4 linked regions of the Pelodiscus sinensis genome follow. The protein of the gene in region 1 purifies or fractionates together with the protein of each later gene. This does not show direct contact. Links are inferred from orthologs where the notes say so. Each region holds a gene or a part of one and is shown in the gene's direction. Other genes may lie near its edges. The genes, in order: ASF1A, UBN2, UBN1 and tonsoku-like protein.

Evidence for each region.
Region 2: the proteins of ASF1A (region 1) and UBN2 purify together in Homo sapiens (affinity purification with mass spectrometry; 3 studies listed by BioGRID and IntAct, counting the BioPlex papers as one, with this or other methods). This does not show direct contact. The link is inferred for Pelodiscus sinensis from reciprocal best matches to the Homo sapiens genes ASF1A and UBN2.
Region 3: the proteins of ASF1A (region 1) and UBN1 purify together in Homo sapiens (affinity purification with mass spectrometry; 6 studies listed by BioGRID and IntAct, counting the BioPlex papers as one, with this or other methods). This does not show direct contact. The link is inferred for Pelodiscus sinensis from reciprocal best matches to the Homo sapiens genes ASF1A and UBN1.
Region 4: the proteins of ASF1A (region 1) and tonsoku-like protein purify together in Homo sapiens (affinity purification with mass spectrometry; 4 studies listed by BioGRID and IntAct, counting the BioPlex papers as one, with this or other methods). This does not show direct contact. The link is inferred for Pelodiscus sinensis from reciprocal best matches to the Homo sapiens genes ASF1A and TONSL.

The regions. Positions count from the first base shown.
Region 1 is NC_134713.1:84,927,980-84,935,781, forward strand, and holds the start of ASF1A (histone chaperone ASF1A), read left to right. Parts: upstream 1-4,784; 5' UTR 4,785-4,787; coding exon of another isoform or gene 4,788-4,852; 5' UTR 4,853-5,011; coding exon 5,012-5,120; intron 5,121-6,249; coding exon 6,250-6,339; intron 6,340-7,802. Other genes in the region: DNA helicase MCM9, read right to left, coding at 1,409-1,583. UniProt on the Homo sapiens protein: Histone chaperone that facilitates histone deposition and histone exchange and removal during nucleosome assembly and disassembly.
Region 2 is NC_134711.1:87,635,706-87,642,565, forward strand, and holds the start of UBN2 (ubinuclein-2), read left to right. Parts: upstream 1-3,845; 5' UTR 3,846-4,028; coding exon 4,029-4,478; intron 4,479-6,860.
Region 3 is NC_134726.1:5,831,054-5,838,906, forward strand, and holds the start of UBN1 (ubinuclein-1), read left to right. Parts: upstream 1-4,846; 5' UTR 4,847-5,005; intron 5,006-5,014; exon of another isoform or gene 5,015-5,556; intron 5,557-6,021; 5' UTR 6,022-6,629; coding exon 6,630-6,872; intron 6,873-7,853. Other genes in the region: GLYR1 (cytokine-like nuclear factor N-PAC), read right to left, coding at 699-778, 2,173-2,209, 4,642-4,679. UniProt on the Homo sapiens protein: Acts as a novel regulator of senescence. Involved in the formation of senescence-associated heterochromatin foci (SAHF), which represses expression of proliferation-promoting genes. Binds to proliferation-promoting genes.
Region 4 is NC_134712.1:957,271-964,625, reverse strand, and holds the start of tonsoku-like protein, read left to right. Parts: upstream 1-4,344; 5' UTR 4,345-4,428; coding exon 4,429-4,459; intron 4,460-6,212; coding exon 6,213-6,308; intron 6,309-7,355. Other genes in the region: uncharacterized protein LOC102461747, read right to left, coding at 1-223. UniProt on the Homo sapiens protein: Component of the MMS22L-TONSL complex, a complex that promotes homologous recombination-mediated repair of double-strand breaks (DSBs) at stalled or collapsed replication forks.

The DNA.
Region 1 (7,802 bases):
CCTGGACCTGCCATGAGGGCAGGGGACTGAACTCGAAGACCTCTCAAGGTCCCTTCCCGTTCTAGTGTTCTATGATTCTATGATTCAGTTAAATACCATTCTGAAGAGTACAATTGTTTAGGCTGACTGTGTTCTGCTTCCCCTCCAAAAAAGCAACATTAGTGAGCCAGGTTCTCTCTTCACTCCAGACCACGCCCAATTTGGCACAAGGTGCTGATGCAGAGGGAACCCCAGCCCACCTTAAGTCTTAGGCATTGGTGACCTCCACTAGCCTGCTCAAAGAGGAGCAGCCAGGATACCTTGTTGGAGTTGCCCATATTGAATTAAATATGGAAATGAGATGCTCTGTACCAAGGGGTTATGTATTTTGAAAATGAATTTCACTCTATTCTACTCCACTATGAAGTTTAATGTTCATTATGCTACAGATTTTTGTACTGACAACAAATATACAGCTACCTATGAGAAGTTGTCAGAGACACGGCAAAGGAGCCCAGAAACCACAGAAAAAAGATCGGGACTGTGTGATAAGGTTGTTAGCTATAGGTTTATGCAGTTAAATGGTTAACAGCATTGAAATTAAGTTCATTGGGTTTCAGAGGGCTACTTTAAGTGAATGGAGGCAGTTTGTTCCTGATTTGAAGCTTTTTTTGGGGGGGGAGCTTATTATAATAATCTGTAACCCACTAGCCCCCTTTTTGACCCGATGGCCATTTCACCTTTGTTGGGTACTTAGAATATGCGCTAATTACCTACACTAAGCTATCTCTTTGATCCTGTATTTAGCTACAACTCTCAGTACCTTTCCCAGAGATGAACAAGAGCTCTGTATAGCTCAAAAGTTGTCTCTCCCACCAATAAAAGATGCTGCCTCACCCATCTTATCTCTCAGATATTTTTCAGTCTGTTTCCAGGCTTAGACAGAAATCATTAATTTTACCCTTGACTCACATTTGGAAGTCAACAGTCTGGGCTAGAAACACAAGAATCTATTCTCCACTATATTTATTATATTAGCTGTGGGCAGTTGTGTCTGTATAAGATTAATGTAAAGTGAGACTTGACCCAAGAGAATTGTGCCCACACAACACTTCGGAGGTTATTTCTCCTATATACACAGTAGGTAGTTGCGGTTATGCTGAAAAGAACTCTGAACTGAGCTGTAAGCTCCAACCTGGACACAGGTTAAATCAAAAGAGAGGTGGTCATCAGAAATCCACCACCAGGAATAAACTTGACAGGGGCGCAAAGGAGTCTCCCTTGAAATTTTAAAACAAAACTGTATAGTATAGTAAAGAAATATGTAAATTGGTCGGGGGAAACCTACATCTAACATTTATTTTTATATTTCAGAATTGAGAGAAAAGACATTTTGTTATTTCATCACATGCATTTAAATGTCACTTACCCTGCCTTAGCTACACTGATGGTTTGTTGCTCCATTGCTTCATGTATGCTGGTTCTGTCATGTTCCTTGATGCTATTAAACTCATCAATACAACAAAGACCTCCATCTGCAAGCACGAGTGCACCAGCTTCCAAATTCCATTCTCCAGAATCCTTTACTGCAGTTACCGTCAAACCTGAAGAATGTTCATTCCAATTTAATATTTTTTTAAAGTATGTGTGCATTTGAAAGAAAGGGAGGGATGAAATAAACTAGCTAGTGCCAGGAAGAGGGAGAGAAAGCACCCCATTTAGAAGTTAAAATTTTGACAGGGGAATAAGGGGACGGTGCACCTCCCAAGATATGGTGTTAAAAGCTTCACCAAAGAGTTCTGCTAATGTACCTCAATTCAGACCTGCTGGTACAACATCCCCTCTATAACAATCCAGGTAATGGCAGGAAAATCTGCCAAGCATGCCACATTTTAAGGTGATGGTTTTACGATATGAACAATTTACAAAAGGAAGTAGAATGAGAGAGGACTAAATCTGTCGTATCAAATTAATTTTTGGTGCAAATTCAATGCTATTAGCAAAGTTATGCCAGGAACACAACTGATCCACTATCAACACTTAAGGCATCAAAAAAAAAAAAAAAGACCATTCAACAAATGCTGCAAAATAAATCATTTTAACATATCTTTCCACAGAGACCAACTCCTCAGTTCGTGAAGCAGAAGTGATTGTTGTTTCCACAAACCTGTGAACTGGGTCTGACAAAGTTTCTCTTTGTTTATTGGATTCATTTGAATGTCCAATTTAAGTGAAACATGAGAGCAGGAATCCATGGGTATTGAAACCAAAGAAAAAGTTCCCCACTGCATCTGCAAATGGACGCAGCTGATTGTGACGTGCTGTAATTAAGCCTCACAGCACTGAGACCCTGAAGAGTTTGAATTTCTGCCTGATGCATTTCTTGTTTACATATCAAGACTATTCAATTTTCACTTTCTCCAGCAAGTCAGTTCTTTTCTCTAATAACACTTAGTTCTGAAGAGGAGTTAACAACTTCAGGATAATGCTATCAGTAGGTATTTATGTAATATGAGGGGATTTGAGATTGCAACTACAACTACTAGGATGGCCATCCATCCTTAAACATCTGCAACTCCCCTTCTCCCCTCCTAATCTCTCTTTTATCTTCTGCCAAGTTCCTCCCTTTCCTTCTCCCAAGCTCTTTCCCCCCACACTCCATTACTGCTTGAATCACACATGGTCCTATGCCCCACACTCCATAGCTCCTAAAGATGTTATGGAATGCTAGGGCCACATCCAATCCAAAGATCATCTTGCTAGAACGGCAATGGGTTCAAAGATCTTAATGGAGCCCAGGAACCACCAACCCTTTGGCTGGTGCAGTTTTTGTCAGTGCAGTTCCATACTTCCAATAGGCAGTGAAGAATTAATAAGCATAGAATTGTTTTACTGACACACTACATGTTTTTTAGGGAGATTGGCCATGATGAATCTTTCTCATTTTGTCTCATCCTCCCTGATCTCTTGGACTTTGCTTCACTCTAGTAAGCACAGTACAATGTAGACAATGTCATCTGGCTGTTTAAATAGCAGTTATAAAAACTGAAGTAAATTCCAGCACTGTGAGAAGCATAAAAAACAGTCGAGATCATATTCAGGACAGTATAATTTCTTTGTAAATACAGACCAAGATTGTCCCCTGCTCTGGAAGAACATACAAGAGGGAGCCTCTGAGAGGAAACCTCACTGCAACCCTCAGGGATCTGCTGAAGACACAGAATCTCTGCGTCCAGCACTGCTCTCCAGATCTCTACAGGCTCCTTGTCAGCATTGCTCAGACTTTCCATGCAGGCAGTATCCTCTGAAATACTGCCTTAGATAAGACACTCCATTACACTCAAGGGCTCAATTCAGAAATTAATACAAACTGAACCTGTATTTATTTGTGAGTAGATTTCCCAGGGAATTGTGAGTGACATTCCACGCAGTCTTTCATCTTGGCTCCTTCTCAGCCACAGATCCATGACCCTGCCAGTTACTCTCTCCAGAGGCTAGAGGGAAGGGGCCTGGTGCCACTTATCTGAGTCATTGCCCCATCTTCCATGAGCAAAGAGTGAGATCTTCATGAAGAGGCCCCTTCCATATGGACCTTGAGGACTGTTCCAGCTCATTGTACCTCATTATCTAGCATCTCTTCAAACATAACAAATTGGATCCCACAGCCATTTCTTGCCTACTCTCAAGTCAAGTGAAGAGAGCCATTGACATCAAAGACTTTAATTGTATAAGTCCTGGTCTACAGAAGGAATTTACTTTGGTATAGCTATGTCTCTCAAGGATGTCAAAAATCCACCACCCCTCAAAGACATTCCTATACTGACCTCCTGAACTCCTGGTGTAGACCTGTGCTACATTGACAGAACAATTCTTGGGGAGGTGGATTACTTGCACCGATGGGAGAAGCTCTGTCGTCCATGTAGTTAGAAGTGATGTGAATGCATAATCACCTGGGCTCATCCACTAACCTTCACAGTTACATGCAGGCTCCTGGTATGTGTGGGGAGCTGGCTTAAAAGCTGCTCCCCATGCGCACTGGCTCTCAAGAAGCTGAGTAGTCCTCTTGCCCCCCATGCTGCTGCCTCTGTTTCAGAGGCAGCAGCATGGGCGGGGGGAAGGTGGGAGCCAACTGCCCCCCACCACTACTGAAATTTTTAGTGGTTACACAGTTAATTAAATGCAGTTTAGCATCCCTAGTAGTTAGTGTCTACACTGAAGCACTACAATGGTGCAGCTGCACTGCTTCATTTTAAGTGTGAACAAGCCCTCAGCAAGAACTTCTCATGTAAAGATTTCAGGCCTGGTCCCTTAAATCCCATGGGTTTATTTGAAATGCACCATTATACAGCAGAAATAAAGTCAATGAGGGTAAACAGATTTAAAACTAGCAAGAGAAAAAAAAATCAGCAACTTCAACTATGTTTTCCTTAATGAAATAATTCTATTCATCATCTGGCCACACAGAGAAGAAAACCTGGATTTGGAAAAAAAGAAAAAAGGGAGGGGGATAATAAACAAGGAGAGGAAAAACAAAAAGCCAACTCCATCCAGTGGTGCCTTGCACATATTTTGTGAGCACAGTACTCAAACTCAGACTACAAGCTCATCCTTCATTCATTAGTTCCTCCCAGTTTCATTTATGCTAGTCACTTTGTTCCAAGCCTTTTTCCTACTCTGGGCCAGCAGGTGGAGCAGCAGCTAATGTTTTTCAGTCCATTCAGAGCAAAGGAGCCCATCTTGTTCTTTCAGGAAGCTTCAGGAGGAGGGTCATAGCTCAGTGTGCAGCCAATCAGTGCCAACGCTGCCAGTTAACAGAGCAGAATGGGCTGTAGTTTAGTGAAATAGGAAAGCTGCAAAACAGTGTGGAGTGTTCCTATTGTAAATAAAAGAAAAAAAAAGTTTCTCAAGTCACAGCTCTACAACCTTGATCAAGTACTGGCACTGGAGTGTGTGCTTTACAAAAAAACAACACATTGGACTTTACTGTGCTGCATTAACCCCCTATTCCTATTGTTTGTATTTTTTTCAAAATATGGCAAAGGTTCAGGTGAACAATGTAGTGGTGTTGGATAATCCTTCGCCTTTCTACAATCCTTTTCAATTCGAAATCACGTTTGAATGCATAGAGGATCTGTCTGAAGGTGAGTAGATTTTTCCCCAGTACGGATTTTATAACCAGGGCTATTAGTTTCAGGTTTTAAACGGTTTAAACTTTGCAAAGGCCTGGTTCTACTATTTAACAGTTTCTCTTTCTCTGTCTCGGTGTGACTAGATGAAAGGATGTGCTGGCAGGCATCTAAATGCTGCTTAGAAATGCTCTGTCTTAGGCTGACGCGGTTAGGCTGAAAGGCAAAGGAAAGTTGATTATTGTGTCCTCTGCTGCAGAGTTGAGTGCTGCTGTATTTCGGATCCAAACCCTGCATTTTATAACGTAAGCTTAAGTTGCCAGGAACTTGTTTGAGTGGTGGTAGCCATGTTGCCAGCTTTGTGTTTGTGTGTGTCTGTGTGTGTGTGAGAGAGGGAGGGGGTTAACGAGCACATCTCTCATGCATCCCTTTTGCTGAAGTGAACTGTTGCTGAGCAGAGCCAAGAGGAATGCTGCCGAAAGGTTGCACAAAGTGGAGAACACCCCCCACCCCCAAGAAATAAAATATTTTCATTGTCTTGACAATCGATTCGAATACTTTGGGGGGAAATATTTCGAGAGGGGTGGGCTGCTCCAAGTAGAGATTCAAATGTAGCTGCAGCACTTAGTATTTTACAAAATGTCTGAAAATAATCAAACTAGCCGATTGAATCCCTTTACAGATTTAGTATTATTCCGGCTATTAACACTCCCCGCCCCGAGAGAGAGGAAGGGAGGGCGGGGGAGGGAAATAGTATTTTTAGAACTCACTTGAAAGTTGCTGTTGGGTGGTAGCCTGGGGGTGTAGGTGTACCCTGCTATGTCCTGCCAGCTAGGAATCTCAGGTTCTGTCTTCAAACCTAGTCTTTTGCTCCCCAGCCTGCCCAGAGCGGGGTGCGTTGTGCAGGGAGTGCGGTCAGCATGTATCCACCCACTCCTGAGTGAAGGGGGTGGACTAGACATTAACCTCTTGTGTCGCTCAGCTGCGACGCCTCCAGGGCTGGCTACTCTTACCAAATACTTTAGCAATCCACAGGCATCGTCCAAAAAGGTTTACAGCAGTGGTCCTACAGTGCATTGGGCCAGTGCTGCAGGTTAACAAGATGTTTACAGCAGAAAGTAAAATCCATTTCTCTTCTGGCCAGAGGAGCACTCTGGGACCCCTGGTCTCACCACTGGACTAAAAGAAGGGAGCAAGCTTCCTCCAGCTTCCCTCAGGAGCACTGGCACAACAGGTGAATGAAGCAGGCTAGTGACCAATCTTAAGCATTTGAGGGAGGAGTGGGAGTACCTTTGGCCACAAGGCATTCAGCTTGTGCTTTCTTGTGTCCCCCATGAAGAGGGCAGAACCATTAGGAGCTATTTATACCCTAACACTGTCAGTGACATGTGATACCTGGGGATCCCAACATTTTAAGCAGTAGGGGAAAATAAACTTACTTATTTCTGGTTTTACTTTATGGGTGACTAAACAGTTCAAAGCTTGGGTAATGGGATATGTGGGGTGTTTTGTATCTTTGTGCCACTAATACAAATCCAGTCCAAATCTGTAACTTTCAGTCATTGCTACTTTATTATGTATTGGTGACTTAACACAAAATGCATTTGGTGAGACCAGTTCCATGGGGAGCAAGTGTCCACATCACAGAAAACACCACCACCTTTGGTCTATCATAATTGCTGGCACTCTCCATAAGGGCCCTGTGTACAATTAAGACTTGCTTAAATTATCTTACTGCTACCCTAGTATTAGTGCTGTTCACCATTTCTTTTAGTTGGAGAAGTAGCTGCCATTTTTTTGTAGGGATTCATGGTAAACACCTGTGCTGAGCCAGTGAGAAATTTTTTAAAGATTTCTCAAGTGTAAACAAGGCTTCCATGGTGTTACTCTTTAAGACTTTTTGGATGCCACCAATGCTGCAAAGAGCTTCAGCCCTCTCTTCCTATGTATGTGCATTTGTATTTATCACTCTCAACACCAGATTGATTTAAATGAAAGTTGGGCCAGGTTGATTAGTGTATAAATTAGCAGAAAAAAGAAGTTTACTTCATTTTTTTGCACTATTATCCCTGTGTTCAGCTGAGAATGAAAAGTAGAGGTACATCACAATCACCACATCTACTTCCATATGGCCACAGCTATTGAGCTTTCATAGAAGTCATTACAATGATTATTATTACAAATAATCTTCAAATAATCTTCATCATTTTATGAAGAAGGTTGTGTCCTTGCTTTAATGTCCAAACACTAAATATCTCAGTCATCTATTGTGCTTTTTTCTCCAAAGCAGACCAATCACTTGCCAATTTAATTTTAAAATTTCATCTATTTAGTCAAAACAATTTTAAAAGTTACTGTTGGACACAGAGTCCTAATAGGATTTGATAATTACCCTTTTTGCATACAATTCTGAAAGAGCATTTACTTCCTGTAACCGTGCCCCCATATGATTCCTAATCTGTTTTATACTATCAGTAGGGTTCCCAGATAGTTTCACAAAAAATACTGAACATGGCGGGGGAAAAAATTAGTTGAGCACAAAACAAAACAAACAAAAAAAAAACCACAAAAAAAGTCATGACGCCTTTAAATCCTACACTCCCGAATGTCCCAAGTGGCCTTCTGTCCGGAAAAAAACCCAGAAAATACCGGACATTTTACATGTCTGATATTTTCTGGTTTTGGTTTTTTTTTTTT
Region 2 (6,860 bases), on another chromosome or scaffold:
AAGATGACATTGAAGAAGCAATCACTAACTGCTTAATAAGCAGTCTATTCTGGTATGAATTTGCCCAGTTTTATTCTCATCTAGTTTCAAAAGCAGTCAGACTGTGCTTGCTTAATACCTGCATAAGATCCCTTATAGGGAAAATATCTATAATATACATTTTGTACACTGTGTTACTTATAAGCCTCAAGCAAGAATGTTCACAGCTCTTTTACAACTATTGCCTTTGCATTCAGAAGTTTCCATTTCAAGTCTTGCTAAAAAGAATTCCTTATGAAGGATAATCCTTCATATTCATGTTACAGATGGGTGTGGTGGCTGCTTAAAACAAAACTGTGACTCATCTAAGTTGTTTAAAGCTTGACTGTGAATATAAATAAGACACAATATCCTGGCTTCAAAGTTCAACATTTCAAAGACTGATTTGCAACTTTAGACTGCCTCCGGATGAGGTGGCCTAATAGAATAGCTTTTTATACCAATCATGTATCCTACTCAGGCAGGCTTTGACCATCACACTGGTCTATTTTCTTTTTACTTGTCCTAAGTATTCATTTGATTTTTTTGGGCTCAATGGATCCTCCCCATATGCTGGAGGGGTGGAGGTCCTTTAGCCAGGGGCAGGCGTCCTGGACTGTAAAAAGACTTTTCGGTAATTCAGTCACTTACTATCAACACTATTTCCTGTGCCATATTATGCCACCCTTACTTCTGCGCTGTTGCCTTAAGGGCTAAGGCTACGTTTACACTACAATGTTTGCCGGAAGAGGCAATGCAAATGAAGCGCAGATTGGCATTTTCTCGTGCTTCATTTACATAATCTCTTCTGCTCTGTTTTTGTGCAAGGGGTTTTTGCGCTAAAACAAGCAGAGTGGATGTTTCCTTTTTGCGCAAAAAACTCTTTTGCGCAAGATCCTAATGCCTCAAAAAAGGAGGTATAATGATTTTGTGCAAAAGGGTTTTTTTGCGCAAAAAGGAAATAACAGAAACCAAGATAGACATAGATAAAAACAGAAGTGCCTGTCAATTGTATGACCCACCCGCTTAATTAGTCTCATTAACACAGGTCCTACAATTAACAGTTACCTCTGCTGTTATATATTACTTGTTTTCATTCCAGTGCATTTCTAATTCATAGAGTGGGTTTTACCCTTGACAGCTCATGATTCTATATATTTTGGTTAGTCTCTAAGGTGCCATAGGACTACTCGTTTTTAGTTAGAAAGTTTCCCCCAATATCTAACCTAAGAGTCCCATGCTCCATACTAAGCACATTTATTCTTGTCGTACCTTCAGTGGACATGGAAAACAAGAGATTACTATCCTCATAATATCCCTTAACATATTTGAAAACTATTATATCTCCTCCCCCTCAGTCTTTGCTTCTCAAGATTTAACATGCTCATTTTTAAAACCTTTCTTCATAGGTCAAGACTTTTATCTTCTTTGTTGCTCTTCTCTGGACTCTCTTGAATTTGTTCACAACTTTCCCAAAGTATGGTGCCCCAAACTGGACACCTCCCCTGAGGCATCACCAACACCACATAAAGTGGAACAGTTACTTCCCATGTTTTACACATGACTCTCCTGTTAATACACAAGATACAGAATATTTGCCTTTTCTGAAATTGTATCATATTCAATGTTCATATTCAATTTTTGATCCAATATAACTGAGCGCTTTTTTCCCTATTCAGTATAGAGAGATGTATCAGAATCAAATCACCTTGTTTCTTACTGTGAACTGGTAGCCTGTAAGAGGCACCAATAGCCCACTGTGTACTTTATTTGCTTGAACATCAAGCCACAAGCATTTAAGATTATTTCTTCCAAGTTATCAGTAACTCAGAAGCAGGCAGTGCCCTTTGGAGTGCCACTCCTGTGCTGCTTTGCCCACTTGATCCCTAAACAGTTTATAACCATTCATTTCTAACATTGCAGTTGTACAACTCATGCCACCAGGTTTCAGTAATACTAACTATCAAATTTAGAGTCATAAATGAGGAATTCCAAATCTACTTATTTTACCCAAGCTCCTAGCACTGGTGTTTAACCAATGAAATAATGTATTCATTTTATGTCCTTTGGTTTGTTGGTTTACACTCTCAGCATCTTGATTCTGTGCTAAATAAGTGGTCATCTCTTCCCTCTTTTTCCCCTCCCCTTTTGTTATTAGTTTACAAAAAGAGAGGACAAAAAAGGAAAGATTTTACTACAGGTTGCATCTCCCTAAACTGGGACTTTCTTGTCTGGCAACATCTGTGGTCCAGCAGGATACCAGACGAGAGAGTCATGGGGCAGGAGGGCCAGCAGCTGAGAGACCCAGGAAAGGCATGGCTGGTGGTAGTGGGGCCAGAGCCTCAGCAGACCAATGGCAGTAGTGCAGTAAGGTGCATGCTGCCCTGACAGCAGGGTTGTGCCGCAGCAACATGAGCAGGACTGGTTCCAGCCTGCCAGTGGGGACAGAGCCACAACAGCCTGGCTGGCAGTAAGGACACCAAGAGAAGCCCATCTGGGGCCACATGCTGGCTGGCAGCAGGATTGGTGCTACAGCAGCAGGCCAGGGCTGCGTGCTGCTGCGCACTGCTGTGCCAGTGGGACTGGAGCAGCAGTTCTGGCAGCAGGGCCGGGGGCAGCCGTGTCGCCAGGCCAGCAGTGGGGACTGAAGGAGCTAGCGGTAGGGAAAGACAGCAGGCAGAGAGAGCCAGAGGCAGGGGACCTGCCCTGGTGCAGCAAATTCCCTAATCGGGGACTGCTAAGATCCCCAGAGTGCTGGATCAATGAGGTCCAACATCTCACGTATTTAGTTCTCAAAGAGAATGGTGCCAAGTTTGCCTCACGGAGTTCCTTAAGTTAAGATGAAGTGAATTTAATCAGGCCCTGACAATTTGAATATATCTAATTTATCATAATACTGTAACCTGTTGTTTTTCTCTTCTGGCTTGTATTCTTTCTAACATATCTAGTCACGATCTTTATTAGTGAAGACTGAAAAAAAATTATTAAAACACCTCAACCTGTTTAGGGCCATCTGTTATTCACACAACTCACCAATGGAAAAAAGGTCTTACATTTTCCTTCCTCAAAGTATTTTAGCCTCACTTCTTACTGCCTTTTATGTCCTTTGGTAGCTGTAACATCCACGTGCTAATCTTTTGTACTCATCCTGGCACTCCGCCACCGCCTTTCCAGGGGCTGTATTTTTTTTAAAAAACCGTTTTGGTTATTAAACATCTTCTGCCACCGTCCTAGTGATCTCGTTCTCTCCGGTCTTTCCTCTGCGGGACACTTCCCGGTTTTCCAGTCGGAGAGGTGACAGCTGAGGTTCCCGGCCCCCTCGCGCAAGGGGCAGGACTCACCTCGGCTGCCGGGGGCCGGAGGGCGCTCCGGGAAGCTGAAGCGGCTCGCGCGCCCACCCCTCCCCAGCCGCGTCACACGCGCCCGCCCCGAGCAGGCCGAGTCGCTGAGGTGGCCCCATTGCTCCCTGGAGAGCTGAGGGAGGGACCTCTCCGGCGGCGCGCCCGGCACCGGGCCCTGCGTCTAGCGCTGCAGGACCGCCCCGGGGGTCGCGGTGCTGCCCATGTCCGTGCCCCGGGTCACGTAGGCCTCACGGCGCGGCGCCTCCGCCATCCGGCAGGCTCTGTGCGAACCCCTGCGCCGGGTAACCTGCGCTCGTGGCCCTTTAAGAGCCTTACCGCAGGCAGCGTGTATATTTCCAAGGCAACTGGGGGCGGGAGCTGGCGTCAGAAGCTTGTGGGCACTGGGGCTGCCGTGACGTAGTAACCGATGAGCAATAACAACAGCGACTTGGGGCGGTTCAACCAGGGCCCACGTTGTCTTACGCATGCGCGGCCCAGCAGCCTGCTTCTATTTATGTGGGGGGGCTCCAAAATGGCGGCGGTGCTAGCAGCGAGGCGAACGTAGGGAGCAGCTCCGATCGGGTGGGGAGGGAGGGAGGAGGAGCCGGCGGGGGAGTGTCGCCGTACGGGTGAGGCGGGGGCCGGTGAGTGGGGGGCGGGGGTCGGAGGATGGCGGAGCCGCGCCGGGTGCCGTTCATTAGTCTGTCACCCGTGAGGCGACGCGAGGGTGAGAGCCCGTCGCTGGAGCGCGAGCTCGGGGGCCGCGAGCCGGAGCAGCAGCAGCTATTGCTAGGGCGCGAGGTGCCGCCGCCGCCAGAGCAGCCGCCGCCGCCGCACGAGCTCTCCCGGCCGGAACCACAGGCTCAGCCGCCGCGCGAGACCAGCCCTCGGCCGGAGCCGCCGCGCGAGACCAGCTGGCCTGAGCAGTGCGAGCCCCCCCGGCCTGAGCCGCCGCAACAGCAGCAGCGCGAGAGTAGCCGGCAGGAGCCGCCGCCGCCGCAGGAGGCGCCACAGCCGCGCCAGACGGTCCGCTTGGAGGTGGTGCTGAAGGACCCCACCGAGGAGAGCTGCGTGGAGTTCAGCTACCCCGAGCTGCTGCTGCTGTGCGGGGAGCCGCGGGTACGGGACCCCAACTCCTCCCCGGGGAGCCGCGCGCAGCGCCCACCCCATGACCAACCCCGTCCCTGGAGTGTGGTGCCTGCCTCCTCTCTCCGGCTCGGGCGCCTGGCCCATAGCCAACCGCGCCCGCAGCCTGTCGGCAGGTTGCTGGGCGCCTCTGAATCCGGGGGTGGGCCCCGCTGGAGATGGACCGGGCAGCGCGTTGCTGAGGAGCCTAGGTGCCCTACTCTTCATATGCCCTGTGCAGAGGAGAGGACTCCATCTCCACGCTTTCTGGCTGCTGGTTTCAGTACAGTTTCCCTTCCTTAGACTCCAGAGTGCTGCCTCTCTGTGTCAGGAGGCCTGACTATCAGGGCATGCCTCTCTCAGGTTTTTATTCCCTGTAAGTTGGTCGAGTGCTTCCTTTCTTGCGGTGAGCTTTTTCAGACAGCTGCAGAGTGAAACTGACAGCTCCTGACAGGTCACACTTGTCTGCAAGGTTTTGAGCAGCAGGGTGAAACTGAGGCAGTCTTATGTGAGGTTCTTGGCTTGGCAAAGGTACACTGTTAGCAGTAGCAGTGCTGGAGGTATGTCCCTGTAGATTCAGGCTTATTTGGAATGTTAGACTTGTTAAATACTTCACTTTATCGGGGAGTAGGGGGAGAACTTCTGAATTCTGGGGCAAACCTCCTCCCCAAAATGGGTGGCTCATGCCCTTGCACTCTCCAGAAAAAGCTTCCCATTTGGAACTGGAGAGTAGATTACAAAAAAGCTTTATGCAAGGTAGGCTGCACCTGCTGCTCATCAGAGACCAGTATGTGGAGCAATGTTAGAATAGATACTTTAGACCTATTCTGTTCTTACCAGTTCTTGAGTGTTGAATGCTGCCTATCATATCCAAATGCTTTTTGTAGGTGCTGACAGTAGTGAAGTCACTTAGAGGATTTATGTAATTGTTGTTTTTCCTCTCATTGGTATAGAAAACACTGGGGTATATGTTCTCTCTTTGGGAATGTGGGGCTAGGTTGAGAATATGGACAGAATGACAGAATTCTGGTCATGCTGGATATATTGATTACAAAAGGCGTAAATACCGTTGTCTGTAGCACCATTTGACTTGGCCATCCAGAGCATTGGGGTGATCAGGGATGGGGAAGCTTTTTTGCGTTGAGGGCCTCTGGTCCACAGAAAAATCAGTCCGAGGCCACACACAAGTGAGAAGCAAAACAAAAAACAAACCCCTCCCCAAACTCTTACTGATATGGCCCCCAACTGAGAAGGAGAGAGAGACTCCCTACATTCCCCTCACACATCAGAGCCTACAGGGGCCCAGGCTAGTAGATTTGTGTGCTCCAGCCCCATGGTGGGACAGTGAAGGGGTGGTGGTTGGGGTGCTAGCATGGGCTCCCTAATGCTATGGGGAGTCCTGAGCCCGGGCCTTAGGTTTTCCACCACTGGGGTAGATAAACCCTGGGTACTCATTCAAAGCCTTTGAATGAGACAATACTACATCTTGATGTTCTACCCCTTTGACCTTATGCTCTTTTTGGAGAAATAGCATCACTTCTTCCTTCAGATTCAAGGGATTTCAGAAAATTAGAAGTGAAGATTCTGACTATCTCTTTTGGATCTGCTTTTCATAATGAGGTCCCTTCCTACAGCTACTGTGAATGTCCAGTGCAAGTTCAGGTTACTTAAATGGCTAGCTCGTAGTGAAAACCTATATATTGCATATAGGGATCTAAGGAATATTAGAGTTACTATCTTTGTTCCTGTATGAACATTAAATGGTGTTGAGTGAGGGAGCTGGAAATGAATGTTAAATGTTCAGAGGTTTAGTGTTTGTGATAGCTGAGTTCTTGTGCATTTTTAGTCCAGTTTTTACTTAAGGTCTCTGTATATGTAATTCGGTTAACATAATAGTCATATCTGGCTTGCAGGTGACTTCTCTTTCCCCCTTTGAAAGCATGAAAAATTAGTTTTGGCCATTGTTGTTACTGATTGCGCTGACAAGAGCCTTCTCTAAACTTAAAAAAAGTTGCATTGCTTTAACGATGCCAATATAATTTAAGTGTAAATTTATATTACTATTCATGTGGATAAACTGGTTTAAAGCTGCATTACATCAGGGAAATACAACTTAGATTAGGCTACCATAAGGTGGGTTCATAACTGTCTGGATAACTGTTCTCAGAGAATAGTTGTCAATAGTTCACAGGCATGCTGGAAGGGCATATGGTTCATTGGGGATCCATTTTGGGACTGGTTCTGTTCAGTATCTTCATCAATGATTTAGATATAGGCATAGAGAGTACACTTATTATGTTTACAGGTGATACCTAGCTGGGAGGGGCTGTAAAGTGCTTTAGAGCATAGGGTCATAGTTCAAAATGATCTGGACAA
Region 3 (7,853 bases), on another chromosome or scaffold:
TCATAACCAACTTTTTTTAAATTGGTCATTTTCTTCCTTGCTAAATGACTATTCAGGAAAATAACAAAACTAAAAATTACTTTAAATATTTAAAAAAAACAGTGGTGGGGGGAGGGAGTTGCCAACATTTCAGTTCCAGGAATCTGGAGTTATTTGTAGCAATAGGAGGTATATAATTGTCAGACTAGTGTGACTTCTTTCATTTTGGTACATGCCCTTCATCACAAAATGCTGTTTAATAAAAAAAGTGGTTTTTGGTAGGCTTACCACCGCTGTGATCTCAAATGCACAACAGTCTTCCCAAATATACAAGCAACATTTTGTGTCAAAATTCATAAAGAATACTTTATGAATGACAGAAATAAAACCATTTTATATTCATGACAGGAGAAACTAGAGACCCAAACTATGCCTGAAAAAAGTGACTGTTACACTACTGTTAACCCAGGTTCACCTATGCCCATGCAAGTGATCAACTACCAAAAACTCCATTATAGCAGCACTTAAAATCAACACATGCTTGCAGCCTTCATACACCCACATGAGAAGATGTATCACAGACCAATAGTTAAAATAAAGAGAATAGAAGGCAATCTTCCTCAGAGCTACACCTTATTATGCTAGCATAAAACTCTTTTAGGAAAGCCCTATGATTTAAAGAGCAACATTCTCATCAGATGAAGAGAGTGGGTACATACTGATCTTCTGTTCCAAAGAACTTCACAAAGAAGCACTTCTTTCCACGGGGTTTCTTCAGGTCTTTAGGCGGATTAACAATCTGAGGAGCAAAGAGAGGAGACAGTATTGTTTAGAGAGGCTGCAATAGCAGTCTGTGGCTTTTTCACGTTTACAGTATACATCTGCAAGAAACCCATTTCATGGGTTTTGCTAAAATATATTTTTAAAGCAAAACAGTGGTGGGGAGGTGCTTCTACTTGTAGCAAAGGTCTTCCACCCAATATACACAATCCATATATTTCTTTATGTTACTCACAGCACTGTGCCTAATGTTAGCATCAATTATCCTGTTGCATTATAGACTTAGCCTGCTATTTAGAATATAATATGGGACTTCTAATACAGCTGTTATGAATTCCATTATTTTCATGGCTTTTTTTTTTTCATTTTAAATAGTCATGTCTTTGGGTGTTGGGAGGCTTTTAGACCTGAGAAAGAAGGCACGTGTGAGTAAAGACGAACAAACCTTCTCTGTAAGCTACAAAGTTATACCTGTGATGCACAACACTGCACAGTGGAATTTTAGAGAGGCTTTATTGTGCAAAAAGATCAGCAACATGAGGCTCTCCCTATCCTCCAGGAGTAAAGTCTCTTTTTAAAATTTGGAAAGCGAAGCTGGGTTTATAGAGCCATGCTCCCGTAAGGAAACAGTCACTTAAGGCCTAGTCTTCAGTACAGAAAAGGATGCATTTCAGGGTTAAAATGCAAGTGAAGACAAGGTAGCTGTAGTTTTAATACAAGTTAGAAGAACAAGTTAATTCTACACTCCCATAGTCTTCACACAAGTTAGCTGGTCAAGTTAAAATGTACAAATTGCTTTGTCTTCAAGTTAAGCTAGCAAGTTAAGAACACACTTCGTTCTTTGTCATGAAGAGAACACCTATATTTGTTAGGTCACCACATTTACCTACATTAAAAAACAAAAATAGAACACTTTTTTTTAGTACTGCATCTGCAATCTGACTTAAAAAAAAAAAACCTTTCCATATTCCTGAACTTTTTATCCACAATCACCCTATGTTTTCTCCTGAAAAACATGACAAAACTGTAACTTTAAATATTAGTTTGAGAATCTGGACTCTCTTTTCCTATTTATTACTTAAGACCGTACATGTAGCCAATTTAGGCAATTTATTGGGGGGGGGGGGGAAGAGAAACCTGTCTTGCAGAAAGTGATAGGGATTAAATTGCTACAACTGAGGGATACAATCAGTTGCAAATTGGTTTCTACTGCTTTTTATTCCATCTGAATGGACAGTTGCTACTGACAGACTGAACTTCTGAATTACATAAAATTCCTGATGCATAGTCTGGTTGAAAACTGAGGCTAAACAGCTTCTTAGCTAAAAATCAAAGAAGAAAACTATAAGGATCTTAAATCTTCACTAGAATTATTTTCATGAACTGCTCCTTTCAGGATAGAAACACACTCACCTTTCCTGGCCAAGGAGGATACCGGCCCAGCTTCCCCCTGAAGAAAAATGAAATGATCAGCCACTAGCATCAGGAATGAGAATTGCTCCACTTTTATCTGTGTCCTCTACAATTTATTTCCAATATCCAGCACTTACATAATATAACCACAAGACCTACCAAGACAAAAAGAATTTTTCAGCTTGGAAGAACACTCACCAATACTCTTATCTTTCAACAAGTGCCATGTGAGCAAACTCCTATACCATGGTGAGCCCCAATGAAGTCTGCATGGGTCCAGACAACCACGCAAATGAAGCTCATTACAGGATCAGGGCCTAAATCATTAAGAAAAGAGGTGGCAAAGCTAGCACCCAAAAGATCTGTATTACAGTTCTTAGTGCTTTGATAAGACTGGATGTCATTTTGTTCCTCTCTTACAAATGACTAGTTTACTTGCCTGCATCAACATGAAATTCAGAGTTTGGGTGGATAACAAGACGCTTCACGACAGAACAGATGAATAAGCACAATAGCCATATGTTTCCAATTCAGGTAGCTGTGATTCCTAAAATGTACTATTTTATAACTTAAGACAGTAATTCCTATATCAAAGGTCGCAAAATTACTTCCATTATCACCCGTTTTTCCAGCCGCTCATTGAACTACTAAGATTGGTAAAACATACTGCAGGCCCACTAGAAACAGAGAAGTTTATTTCCTGCCTTTGCCAGTTTCATCACAAAGTATAAGCCAAACCATTTCCTCACAGACTAGGTGGGGAAAATCGGCATCAGCATGAAAGCCTAGTCCTTCTACGCCTGTCATTCAGACAGACTACAAATGTTCACAGAACCTTATCTGGCATCAGTCTCTGTCTTGCATGAGACTGGCAAAGGATCCGTATCAAGTACCTGAACTAAAATTCTCAGCAAATAGCACATCAACATCCATGAGGTGAAGATTCCAGAGAGGGCAAGCTGGTAATGGCAGAAACACTGCTTAGAAGGACACTAACCAATACCATGACTTTCTGTTACTGTCGCATTGATCCATTCTTCTTTTATCAAGTTTTTTCTGCTTTCCCATCTTCTTCCAAATCTTATGGCTGCAGTTCTTTCTAGGTGGGCCTAGCGGCTGTGCCTTGACTATATTGCCATGTATGAAACTCAAGTTGGATGATCTGTATTCAGAAACATCACTAACAGCAGTGCACTCCCCAACCACTCATTTGAAACAAGTTCGGCTAAAGGAATCAACCTTTACTTACTTTGCTATATAAATTAGACAGCTTCACACCACTGTCAATGTTTCGGATGAGAAACTGCAGTTGTCAGCCTGGACCACGCACTTCTTTTTATCTGGGATATAAATATAAATGCATACACTTGCGTGTTGGGGATTAGCTATTTGTTGCAGGACCTAGTGTGATGTCTACCCCGTCACTCAAAGCGAACTAGAAGCACAGTAAAACCTGTACACTTCAGAACAGTACTAACAAGCTTTGAAGGCGGTCCCATAAATCCTCATGGGCTGTAAATATGGAGGCCATGACTCCTCAACTGGGTTTGGGGATAAAGCAGTGGTGACAGGGGAAAGTTGGTCCTGTGAGCTCCAACAGGTTACCCCAACCTGGAAAAAAATCCCACTCCTGTATTATATTGCTTATCACATAAATCACTCCTTAAAAGCAGAACCCAGATTTTAAAGATCACCCCTTCTTTTCACTAGTCTCAGCCACCAAAGGATGACTCCCATATGATCAACACCATCCTCCAAGGAATCACTCCATTACCCCTCTTCCTCCACCTTCACTGTTCTCTAGGTGGTTGCTTCACCCTGCCCTGTAGTTCAAAAAAATGCTACAACAATTATTTTCCAACCCTTTTATTCCGACAGACTCCCAGGCAACAGCACATGACCCGTGTTACAGGTGAAGCCTATGCCATATTCACTCTGAAATAGAGCCCCATTGCACTGTAGCCCACCCTGTCCTTAACCCAGTAACGCCAGGCCAAGCAAGTCTCTGGCTCTATTCGCATACCCCGAAAGAGCCTCTGTGGCCCGTGTAATGCCCCCCCCCCCCAGTGATGCCTAGACAAGAGCCCTGCACCATCCCATCCCATCCCTGACACGACTCCAGACTGCCACCACCTCTGCAAGCGCCCAGCTGCCACCCTGCCCTGCCCCGCTCACAACCGCCCGGGCCCTGCACACGGGGAAGGCGGGGCTCGCTCCCACCCCCCGCATCAGCGCTTCAGGGTGCGCGAGCCCGGCTTGCCCGCCCCGTGGCTACCGCTGTGCCCCTCCCCCGGTTGCCCGCTATCGCTACGCGCACCCCGGGAGCGCCCCCGCCCCGGCACCACCCAGCCGCAGCCCCGCCCCCGCTCTCCGCTCTCTGCCTCCGCCCCGGTATCACACAGACCCCCCCCGCCCGCCGGCAACCGCCAGCCCCGCGCCCCAGTGGCCCGCCCCGGCCCCCACACTCACCACACCAGGTCTCCGAGCCGCAGACTCACAGCCGCCATCTTACCGACTCAGCCAGCAGCAGCAGCGCGGCGCAGGGGCTGCCGGGACGGGACGGGCACCGCCCACCTCGCGACCAGCCTCCGCGGCGGGGGCGGTGCCGCCGGGATAGGGCAGGCCGTGCCACGTGACCTGGGCGCGCTGTCACCGCGCCGCTCCCCCGCCCCCCCCCCGCGCGTGACCGCCTTCCTCGCGCCCATTGGCTTCCGGCGTAGCACGCGACCCTCTGTGGCCGCCTCCGCGCGGGCAGCGCCTCCGGCACGTGACGCGGGAGCAGGGACCGGCCCCGGCCCGGGAGTGCGCCGAGGCGGCGGAGCCCGGAGCGCTGGTGAGCCCGAGCGGGGCAGGGCTTGTCGCACAGCCCCTCCCCCCCCGCGCCTAGCGGTGTGGCCGGGCCAAGCCCCGCCCGCCTCCCGCCGGCCGGTCCCTCCCCCTCTGGCCCCACACGGGGGTCCGCGGGCCCGGCCCTGCTCCTCCCTCCGTTCCGCCCGCGCCGGGCCCGACCCCTCCCCTCCCTGCCGGGGCCGCGCGGGCCCAGAGGACCGTTACTGGCCCCGCTTGCCCGCCGCGGGCTCACCCGGGAGAGGGGACCCGAGCGCATCCCCGGGGCCGGTTTCCCTCTCTCCGCCCCCTGCCTTTGCTGGGCGCTATCGGGGTATCTGGCTTGGCGGGCACGTCCCCCCCCCCGGCAGTCCGGGGCCCCGTCCCCCTGTGCGTGGGTCAGATGCCCGGCCTGGGGCCGCCTGGAGCGGCTGGGACACAAGTCCCCCCCCAGGACTGGGGCGCGGAACCTTATTCGAGTGGGGGGCTGTTGACCCACAGGAAACCCGTCAGCGGCTGCACACAAGTGGGGGAAGACACCCCACACCCTTCACTCAGGTGGGCCCTGACTGGGAAGGGGAAAGACGCTCCCCACGTTCCCCTCGCACACCAGAGCCGTAGGCGGCCCAGGCTAGTAGATTTTGTGTGCTCCAGCCCTGGAGAAGGTTGGGGGTGGGGAGGGCTGGAGCTCCAGCCCGGCCTCCCCAAATCTGAGGGGAACCCTGAGCCTTGGGGACCAGATCCAGGCAAGCTGGGGGCTGGACCGTAGGTTCCCCATCACTGCCTCTAGGGGCTGTGTAGTGTCTGAGGCAGCTGCTGGCTTCCCCTCATTGGTTTGTGGAGCATTGAGTTTGTGACCCCCACTATGCTACGGGGGGTGTCACTTTCTGAGCCAGGCCATCAGCTGTCACTGACATTTTTTGAGCCAGTACTTATGTCAGCTGGATTTTTGAGGGGGTAGGTGGGTGTTCCCCTTAAATCCTTTTTGTTTTAAGCTGGATCTTTGTTTTCTTTTCTAATCAGAAATGTCAAGAAGATTCTTTGGGAGGCAGTCTCGTGTGCGCTGACCTTTAGGCATGGACCAGGCATCAGACAGTGGCAAGCATGTGTCTGAGCACAGTGCAGAGGAAGGGCAGGTGCATTTGGCTCTCCTGGCATCTTGATAATTGCCATCCAAAGCAAAGCGCTGATGCAGCGTGGCGTAGCCCAGACTGACGTTTGCGACAAAGGCGTGTTCAGTCATATTAAAACTGGTTTTCTGGAGGTTGCACTGTGCACCAGGTTATTTCACTCTGCCCTGTAGAAATGGAGTTGCACAGCGTTCAGGCGGCATCGTTACGGATGGGCAGGTATTAAAATGTAGGGGACTGCGAATTTTAGAGTTGTTTCTGCTCTGAGAATCAGCCTTTCTCTGAAGAATGCAGCAAGCTGTGAGACTGCCAGCTACAGCTATTTCTTAGGGATCTCTAATTCCAATAATCTTTTCTTCTTCCAATGTGCTCTTATCTCCTTAAACATCTGTTTGTCCTTTAATTGAAATCCCCATGTATGCACATGCACAAAGCTTCACCAGAACTTCTCTGAACTAATGGAAACCATGCCATGAGACCTGCGAAGACTTGATAATAGCCATGACGGAGCCCCACAGGGTTCAGTTCACCTCTTTGCCAGGCCCGCTAAGCAACACTTTCTTGAAGAAGCCTCGTAAAGAGGAGGCTGCAGGAGCAGAGCAGCCCCAGGACTCATCTGCATCAGCGGTTCGCCTCACACTCACTCTCTTTGAGCCAGATCACAAACGTTGTCCAGAATTCTTCTACCCAGAGCTTCTAAAGAATACTCGAGGGAAAGTGAAAGGTGTTTCCTCAGGTGACAAGGTGAGCATCTAATAACGTTCCACTTTTCAGCTAAGATTTCAGAATGCTCATTCTTTTTTGCCCATCTCCCAAGAGCATTGCCTGTATTAAGGATGAGCAAACTGAGGCTCAGAGTGGTGAAATAGCTTGTCAATGATCACAGACCTACTTGGTGATAGAACTAGGAATAGAAACCAGGACTACTTACTGCTAAATATGAACTCTTACTACTGAACAATATTCTCTTGTTATTTTTGCCTTATTAGAATTTTCCTTGAAATGACTTAAAGCAGTGTTTGGAAAGCACAACAGATAATGTCATAATGATGATTTGATTCGATACAGACTGAATGCAGTGCTTTGTTGGTACCAGGATTGCTTGAAACATGAATATTCATAAAAGAACATTGAAAGTAGATCTCCTTAACAGCTTGTACAATGGGAGCCTCTAGACGGACTCATACTCTACATAGATATTTCCATTTGAGTATTCTCTATTGGTACCTGCTTTTGTATATAAGTTGTTGTCAGTTAGCAGCTGAGGAATCTGCCAGCCAGTAGTGAGTAGGGAACTTTATACTTAAGAGGTCTTACCAGTCAGTTTCAACAGAAGCAAAACTTTCATTTTAAAGAATATAATTAAAATGTAAAGTGCTTCAAACTTAAAACTCACTTACATGCCAATTTTCTTCCACAATTTGATCTGAAGAAGTGTGTCTGGCCCACGAAAGCTCATCACCTAATAAACCATCTTGTTAGTCTTTAAAGTGCTACATAGTCCTGTTTTTTGTTTCAGCTAGACCAGCCTAACATGGCTACATATCTATTACTGTTCTACTTTTGTAAAGCATTTCTAGAGCTAACCAACAAAAAGTGCTTTGCAAGAGCAAGAATTGTTGTTAATGTTACCTGGAGAAATATTGACTGCAGTGCTGCTGCTGGTAACATTATGGTATTGCTTGGGAAAACTAACACATTCCCGTCAGTTGCATAGTTGCTGTC
Region 4 (7,355 bases), on another chromosome or scaffold:
CCCATCCCTGTCCTTGCGCTTTGACTTTGTGACCCTTTGTTTCTGCATGGCGCTTGATAGCTTTTGCAGAATCAAACTTGACGGTGAGCTGCACCCGACAAACAGAACAGTAGCCCGAGTCGTCGCTTGCCTTTATAAGCCAATTCCGATACTCTGGCCGTTGCAGCCACTCGTCTTTAAATGTGCACAGCCTTCGACTCTTTTTCTTGTCGGGTTCAGTCATTTTGTCTCCCTGCTAGTCTGGCTGCAGCACGGTTTCGCCACCAGATCAGAGGGTTAACGGTGGAGGCCGGTTGCTCCCTGCTGCTTAAAAAAGTTAGTCAAAGAGTCAATCACACATTGTTTTGACAGATATTACACTCACTTCGGGTTTTATCTGCTACAGGATGCTAGACTATAGAAAATGGCAGTAGCTTTTGGTGTCTGGTCAATACTTCCGATGAGATACTGTACAAGTCCCCTTAAAACTGGACTTTTTCTACTTTATCCTCTGGAATGTGTCAAGCTATTTTTGTTTCCGGTGCAGCTAAAGTTAATATAGTAACAGAGATATAGCCGTGTTAGGCTTGTCTAGCTGAAACAAAAAACAGGACAATGTAGCACTTTAAAGACTAACAAGATGGTTTATTAGGTGATGAGCTTTCGTGGGCCAGACCCACTTCCTCAGATTAATACTCATCACCTAATAAACTATCTTGTTAGTCTTTAAAGTGCTACCTAGTCCTGTTTTTTGTAATAGTTAATATAGGTGTTGTGACCAGCATGCGCAATGAGGGTGCATCTGCACTGCACCCTTAGCTCACAATAAGCTAGGCAATTTGAGCTACGCAAATTGCCTAGCTTATTTTGAGTTAGTTTCCAAATCGCTTATTTTGCAGTGCCAAATTCTGAAATAAAGTGCTATTCCAAAACGTCCCTTATGCCTCGTGGAATGAGGTTTACAGGGACGTCGGAATAGCGTGCCTGTTTTATTTTGAAATAACAGGCTTGCTCAAAAGACGCAAAGCAGCTCTTTCAGCATACCGGAAAGATCTTGGAATAGCGTAGACCTCCCCGCATTCTGCAAGGGCCTCTCTATTTGCATCAGTTCAATTTGTGCCGCCCTGGGCAGAGCATCACGTGGGGCAGCCGGCACGTCAAACTCCATGCTTGCAGGTTTACCATTTGCCATGTCTGCGAGAGCATTATTAAGCCATGCCTCGGTGACAGGAATACGGTCACAATATGCCTGGGCCTACTTCGATCTCCATGCACATGGGCCTTTCACAGCACAGGGCTGTAACCGCATGACAAGTGTCTCCGTGGTGGGGTGCCATGAACAGCCTGAAAGGGGGGTGAGATAAGATCTGACCATTCCATTGTCGGGGCAGGGTGGGTTTACAGCCGTGCAAAGCAGCGGTTCTCAACCCCTCCCCAGTACCGGACCGTGTGCGGGAGTCGGATTTGTCTTGCGTCCCCCCTCCCAGCTGAGCCTCACTAAAGGAACTTCCTTAGAATCTCCGGCCTCTGCGTACGGGGCGTCACGGCGCAGCGGGATGGAAAGGCGCCTTTGTTCTCAGCTGGGCCATCGGATTGCGACCCCAGGCGCTGGGCTAGAACAACGGACGGGCAGTAGCCACGGGTGGGACCTGAGGTCAGGTCTAACCGGCGCTTTCCTGCACTGGAACTTTCTGGCTTAGGGGGTGTGAACACCCCCCCCCCCCACACCCAGCGCAGCAAGGGGCCCAGGTGAGCGGGCCCAGCGCGGTGACATGCCCCTGGTGGAGGCAGACTGGCGCCCCAGAGGGGTTTGAACCCGCTCCATGGCCAGAGCATGGCCTGACTGACTGGGCAGCGCAACTTGGGCAGTTTGGCTAGGGGCACCGCTGGGTGCGGGGTTCATTGGGGAATAGTCCAGCCAGGGGTACCTCTGGGTGCCCTGGTGCAGTGGGGTGCAGCCCGGCTCGGGGGGAAGTGGGGTGCAGCCCGGCTCGAGGGGAGCGGGGTGCCCCGGGGGAGTGGGGTGCAGCCCGGCCGGGGGAAGTGGGGTGCAGCCCGCTCGGGGGGAAGTGGGGTGCAGCCCGGCTCGGGGGGGGAGCGGGGGTGCCCCGGTGCAGTGGGGTGCAGCCCGGCCGGGGGGGGAGCGGGGTGCCCCGGTGCAGTGGGGTGCAGCCCGGCCGGGGGGGAGCAGGGTGCCCCGGTGCAGTGGGGTGCAGCCCGGCCGGGGGGGGGGGAGCGGGGTGCCCCGGGGCGGGGGGAAGTGGGGTGCAGCCCGGCTCGGGGGGAAGTGGGGTGCAGCCTGGCCGGGGGGGGAGCGGGGTGCCCCGGTGCAGTGGGGTGCAGCCCGGCCGGGGGGGGAGCGGGGTGCCCCGGTGCAGTGGGGTGCAGCCCGGCCGGGGGGGGAGCGGGGTGCCCCGGTGCAGTGGGGGTGCAGCCCGGCCGGGGGGGGGAGCGGGGTGCCCCGGTGCAGTGGGGTGCAGCCCGGCCGGGGGGGAGCGGGGTGCCCCGGTGCAGTGGGGTGCAGCCCGGCCGGGGGGGGAGCGGGGTGCCCCGGTGCAGTGGGGTGCAGCCCGCCGGGGGGGAGCGGGGTGCCCCGGGGCAGTGGGGTGCAGCCCGGCCGGGGGGGAGCGGGGTGCCCCGGGGCGGGGGGGTGCAGCCCGGCCGGGGGGGGAGCGGGGTGCCCCGGTGCAGTGGGGTGCAGCCCGGCCGGGGGGGGGAGCGGGGTGCCCCGGGGCGGGGGGGTGCAGCCCGGCCGGGGGGGGGGGAGCGGGGTGCCCCGGGGCGGGGGGGTGCAGCCCGGCCGGGGGGGGGGAGCGGGGGGCGGGGGGGTGCAGCCCGGCCGGGGGGGGGGAGCGGGGTGCCCCGGGGGCGGGGGGGGTGCAGCCCGGCCGGGGGGGGGGAGCGGGGTGCCCCGGTGCAGAGGGGTGCAGCCCGGCCGGGGGGGGAGCGGGGTGCCCCGGGGCGGGGGGGTGCAGCCCGGCCGGGGGGGGGGAGCGGGGTGCCCCGGGGCGGGGGGGGGTGCAGCCCGGCTGGGGGGGGGGAGCGGGGTGCCCCGGGGCGGGGGGGGTGCAGCCCGGCCGGGGGGAGCGGGGGTGCCCCGGTGCAGTGGGGTGCAGCCCGGCCGGGGGGGGGAGCGGGGTGCCCCGGGGCGGGGGGGGTGCAGCCCGGCCGGGGGGAGCGGGGTGCCCCGGTGCAGTGGGGTGCAGCCTGGCCGGGGGGGGGAGCGGGGTGCCCCGGTGCAGTGGGGTGCAGCCCGGCCGGGGGGGGAGCGGGGTGCCCCGGTGCAGTGGGGTGCAGCCCGGCCGGGGGGGAGCGGGGTGCCCCGGTGCAGTGGGGTGCAGCCCGGCGGGGGGGAGCGGGGTGCCCCGGGGCAGTGGGGTGCAGCCCGGCCGGGGGGGGAGCGGGGTGCCCCGGGGCGGGGGGGTGCAGCCCGGCCGGGGGGGAGCGGGGTGCCCCGGTGCAGTGGGGTGCAGCCCGGCCGGGGGGGGAGCGGGGTGCCCCGGGGCGGGGGGGTGCAGCCCGGCCGGGGGGGGGGAGCGGGGTGCCCCGGTGCAGAGGGGTGCAGCCCGGCCGGGGGGGAGCGGGGTGCCCCGGTGCATTGGGGTGCAGCCCGGCCGGGGGGGGAGCGGGGTGCCCCGGTGCAGAGGGGTGCAGCCCGGCCGGGGGGGGGGAGCGGGGTGCCCCGGGGCGGGGGGGTGCAGCCCGGCCGGGGGGGGGAGCGGGGTGCCCCGGGGCGGGGGGGTGCAGCCCGGCTGGGGGGGGGAGCGGGGTGCCCCGGGGCGGGGGGGTGCAGCCCGGCCGGGGGGAGCGGGGTGTCTCGGTGCAGTGGGGTGCAGCCCGGCCGGGGGGGGAGCGGGGTGCCCCGGGGCGGGGGGGTGCAGCCCGGCCGGGGGGGGAGCGGGGTGCCCCGGTGCAGTGGGGTGCAGCCCGGCCGGGGGGAGCGGGGTGCCCCGGGGCGGGGGGGGTGCAGCCCGGGTCGGGGTGCGGGTGCATCCCCCCCCCCCAGGTGAATGGGGCCCGGCCGAGCAGCCCCGCCCCTACCTACCAGGGCGCTGCTCCCGCCCCTGCCCGGACACGCCGGCCGACACGCTCGCGGGCCAGGGCCTGGCCGGACTACGCATCCCGGCATGCAGCGCGGCCCCTGTGCCTACGGCGCGTGCGAGCCTCAGCCAGGCGGGAAGTCGGCCCTGTGGGCCCGCGCAGGGCGCGTTCGCGGGGCATGCTGGGAGCTGTAGTGCCGGGTCCCGCGCAAGCGCAGCTCGCTGGGCAGGTTTCCCCGTGGATGGATTCCGCTGCAGCCTATCAGGAGAGGGGGGCGGGCTGAGCGGGTGGGCGGGCCGGCAGGCCTCGGCTTGTGATTGGCTATGGGGTCTGTTCTCGCGGTGACTGCTGGCCAATGGCGTTCGCCTCTGGGGAGGGGCGGGCGCGGCGCGAACCCGGCGCGGCGGGATGAGCGGGGAGCGGAGCCGGGAGATCCGCCGTGAGCGGGGGGGCCGCGGGGGGGGCGATCGGGGGCGGGGCGGTACTGGGGGCTGGGCAGTGTTGGGGGGCAGGGCGGTACTGGGGGGCAGGGCAGTGTTGGGGGGCTGGGCGGTACTGGAGGGGCAGGGCAGTGTTGGGGGGCTGGGCGGTACTGGAGGGGCAGGGCAGTGTTGGGGGGCAGGGCGGTGTTGGGGGGCTGGGCGGTACTGGAGGGGCAGGGCAGTGTTGGGGGGCAGGGCGGTACTGGAGGGGCAGGGCAGTGTTGGGGGGCTGGGCGGTACTGGAGGGGCTGGGCAGTGTTGGGGGGGCTGGGCGGTACTGGAGGGGCAGGGCAGTGTTGGGGGGCTGGGCGGTACTGGAGGGGCAGGGCAGTGTTGGGGGGGCTGGGCGGGTACTGGAGGGGCTGGGCAGTGTTGGGGGGCTGGGCGGTACTGGAGGGGCAGGGCAGTGTTGGGGGGGCAGGGCGGTACTGGGGGGCAGGGCAGTGTTGGGGGGCTGGGCGGTACTGGAGGGGCAGGGCAGTGTTGGGGGGCAGGGCGGTAACTGGGGGGCAGGGCAGTGTTGGGGGGCAGGGCGGTACTGGGGGGCAGGGCAGTGTTGGGGGGCGGGGGCGGTACTGGAGGGGCAGGGCGGTGTTGGGGGTCTGGGCGGTACTGGAGGGGCAGGGCAGTGTTGGGGGGCGGGGCGGGTACTGGAGGGGCAGGGCGGTGTTGGGGGTCTGGGCGGTACTGGGGGGGCAGGGCAGTGTTGGGGGTCCTGGGCGGGTACTGGAGGGGCAGGGCAGTGTTGGGGGGCGGGGCGGTACTGGAGGGGCAGGGCGGTGTTGGGGTCTGGGCGGGTACTGGGGGGCAGGGCAGTGTTGGGGGTCTGGGCGGTACTGGGGGGGCGGGGCGGTGTTGGGGGTCTGGGCGGTACTGGGGGGGTAGGGTAGTGTTGGGGGGCAGGGCGGGTACTGGGGGGGGTAGGGGCAGTGTTGGGGGGCGGGGCGGTACTGGGGGGGTAGGGCAGTGTTGGGGGGCAGGGCGGGTACTGGGGGGGGGTAGGGCAGTGTTGGGGGTCTGGGCGGTACTGGAGGGGCAGGGCAGTGTTGGGGGGCGGGGCGGTACTGGGGGGCAGGGCAGTGTTGGGGGTCTGGGCGGTACTGGGGGGCAGGGCAGTGTTGGGGGGCGGGGCGGTACTGGGGGGCAGGGCAGTGTTGGGGGGCGGGGCGGTACTGGGGGGTTGGGCAGTGGTGGGGGGCTGGGTGGTACTGGGGGGCAGGGCAGTGTTGGGGGGCTGGGCGGTACTGGGGGGCTGGGCAGTGTTGGGGGCAGGGCAGTGTTGGGGGGCTGGGCGGTACTGGGGGGCAGGGCGGGTACTGGGGGGCAGGGCAGTGTTGGGGGGCTGGGCGGTACTGGGGGTTGGGCAGTGTTGGGGGGCTGGGCGGTACTGGGGGGCAGGGCAGTGTTGGGGGGCAGGGCAGTGTTGGGGGGCTGGGCGGTACTGGGGGGCTGGGCGGGTACTGGGGGCGGGGGGGCTGGGCAGTGGTGGGGCTGGGAGGTGGCTGGTCTCGCGGGTTTGGGGGTTTTGCGGCTGGCGGGGGTGTAGCTGGGACTGATGGGCTGGGGGAGCTGGAGCCAGATGCAAGAGGGCAGGGCCCAGGAGTAAGGCCCCATCACTAGCCTTGGGGCCCTGTGCCGGGCGCTCCCTAGGCAGAGGGCCGAGGACCGTGGGCCTGCCAGGGCTGAGGGTCCCTCTCCTGCCGCCCCCAGAGCTCCAGAAGGCGAAGGACAAGGCCCAGAGGAGCGGGAGCCTCAAGGAGGAAGCTGTCCTTTGCAACCAGCTTGGGGAGATCTTGGCTCGACATGGTGAGCGGGGCCTGGCCCGGTGCTGAGGGTGGCCGGTTCGCTCCTGGCTGTCTGATGGCAAGGCTGGCGCGGGGGGGGGCTGGAGAGGTTTGGGGGCCCTGCCTTGTCCCTTGAGTTCTCCCTCTGCGGGGAGCTGGAAGCATGAGGCCCTGCCACGCCCAGGGGCCGAGTGGGATCTGTGGGCTGGGATCCGTAGAAGCCGGTCGCTGGCCCGTCGGCTCCGATGCCCAGCGTAGCAGGGGGCCGGGCGTGCTGTTTCCGGAGAGGCGTCTGCATGGGGCTCCCCTCTGTCCTCCTGTGGGGAGCCCGGGGCCCAGGAGCAGCCCCCGGTGGGTTCCAGAGCCGGGCATGGTGCCATGCTCTTGGCTGTTTAACCGCGCGGGAGGAGGGGTGCCTGGCCCTGGGGACTGGAGAGAGAAGGCCGCAGGCTGGGACCAGCTGGGGGAGGCTGCCGGCCACAGAGCCGACCTTTCTCCTGCTGAGGATGGAGAACCCTGGCGAGTGACCCGCACCCTGCGCACGAAGGCGAGTCCCCCCCAAACCTAGCAACGTAGTTTGTCTCCGGTGGGAGGCAGCTCCCAAACCTCCCCTCCCCCGAACTCCTCCTCATTGTCGGCTGACCTGGTTCAGGGCCCTTGGTTGTGTTCCTTCGACCCCCAGCTCAGCCCCTCCCTGGGGCTCCCCTCCCGGCGTATCACCAGAGAGCCAGGAGCTGCCCTTGCAGCCTTCTCTGGGGGAGCTCCCCGAGCCAGGCCCTCTGGTCGCCTCAGCCGAGCCCAGCGGCTCTTCTCTGCCCGGCTGCTGGGTGACGTCACATCTGTGGTCGGGCAGTGGCGCTGGGTTTGCCGGGGCTGCTCTTCTGGAGCTGTGTACCGACCAGGGACTGGAGAGCCCTCGCCCGAGAGCCTCTGCCGGCCTCCTGGCTGCGTCGCATTGGTGGCTCCTCGTCACCTAGTGGCCAGCCCCCCCGGGAGCCGAAATTCTTCTAATTAGACCGTAAGTCCCATTGCCTTGTCTGCTTCGGCATGTTGAATCTCAGCCCGTGTC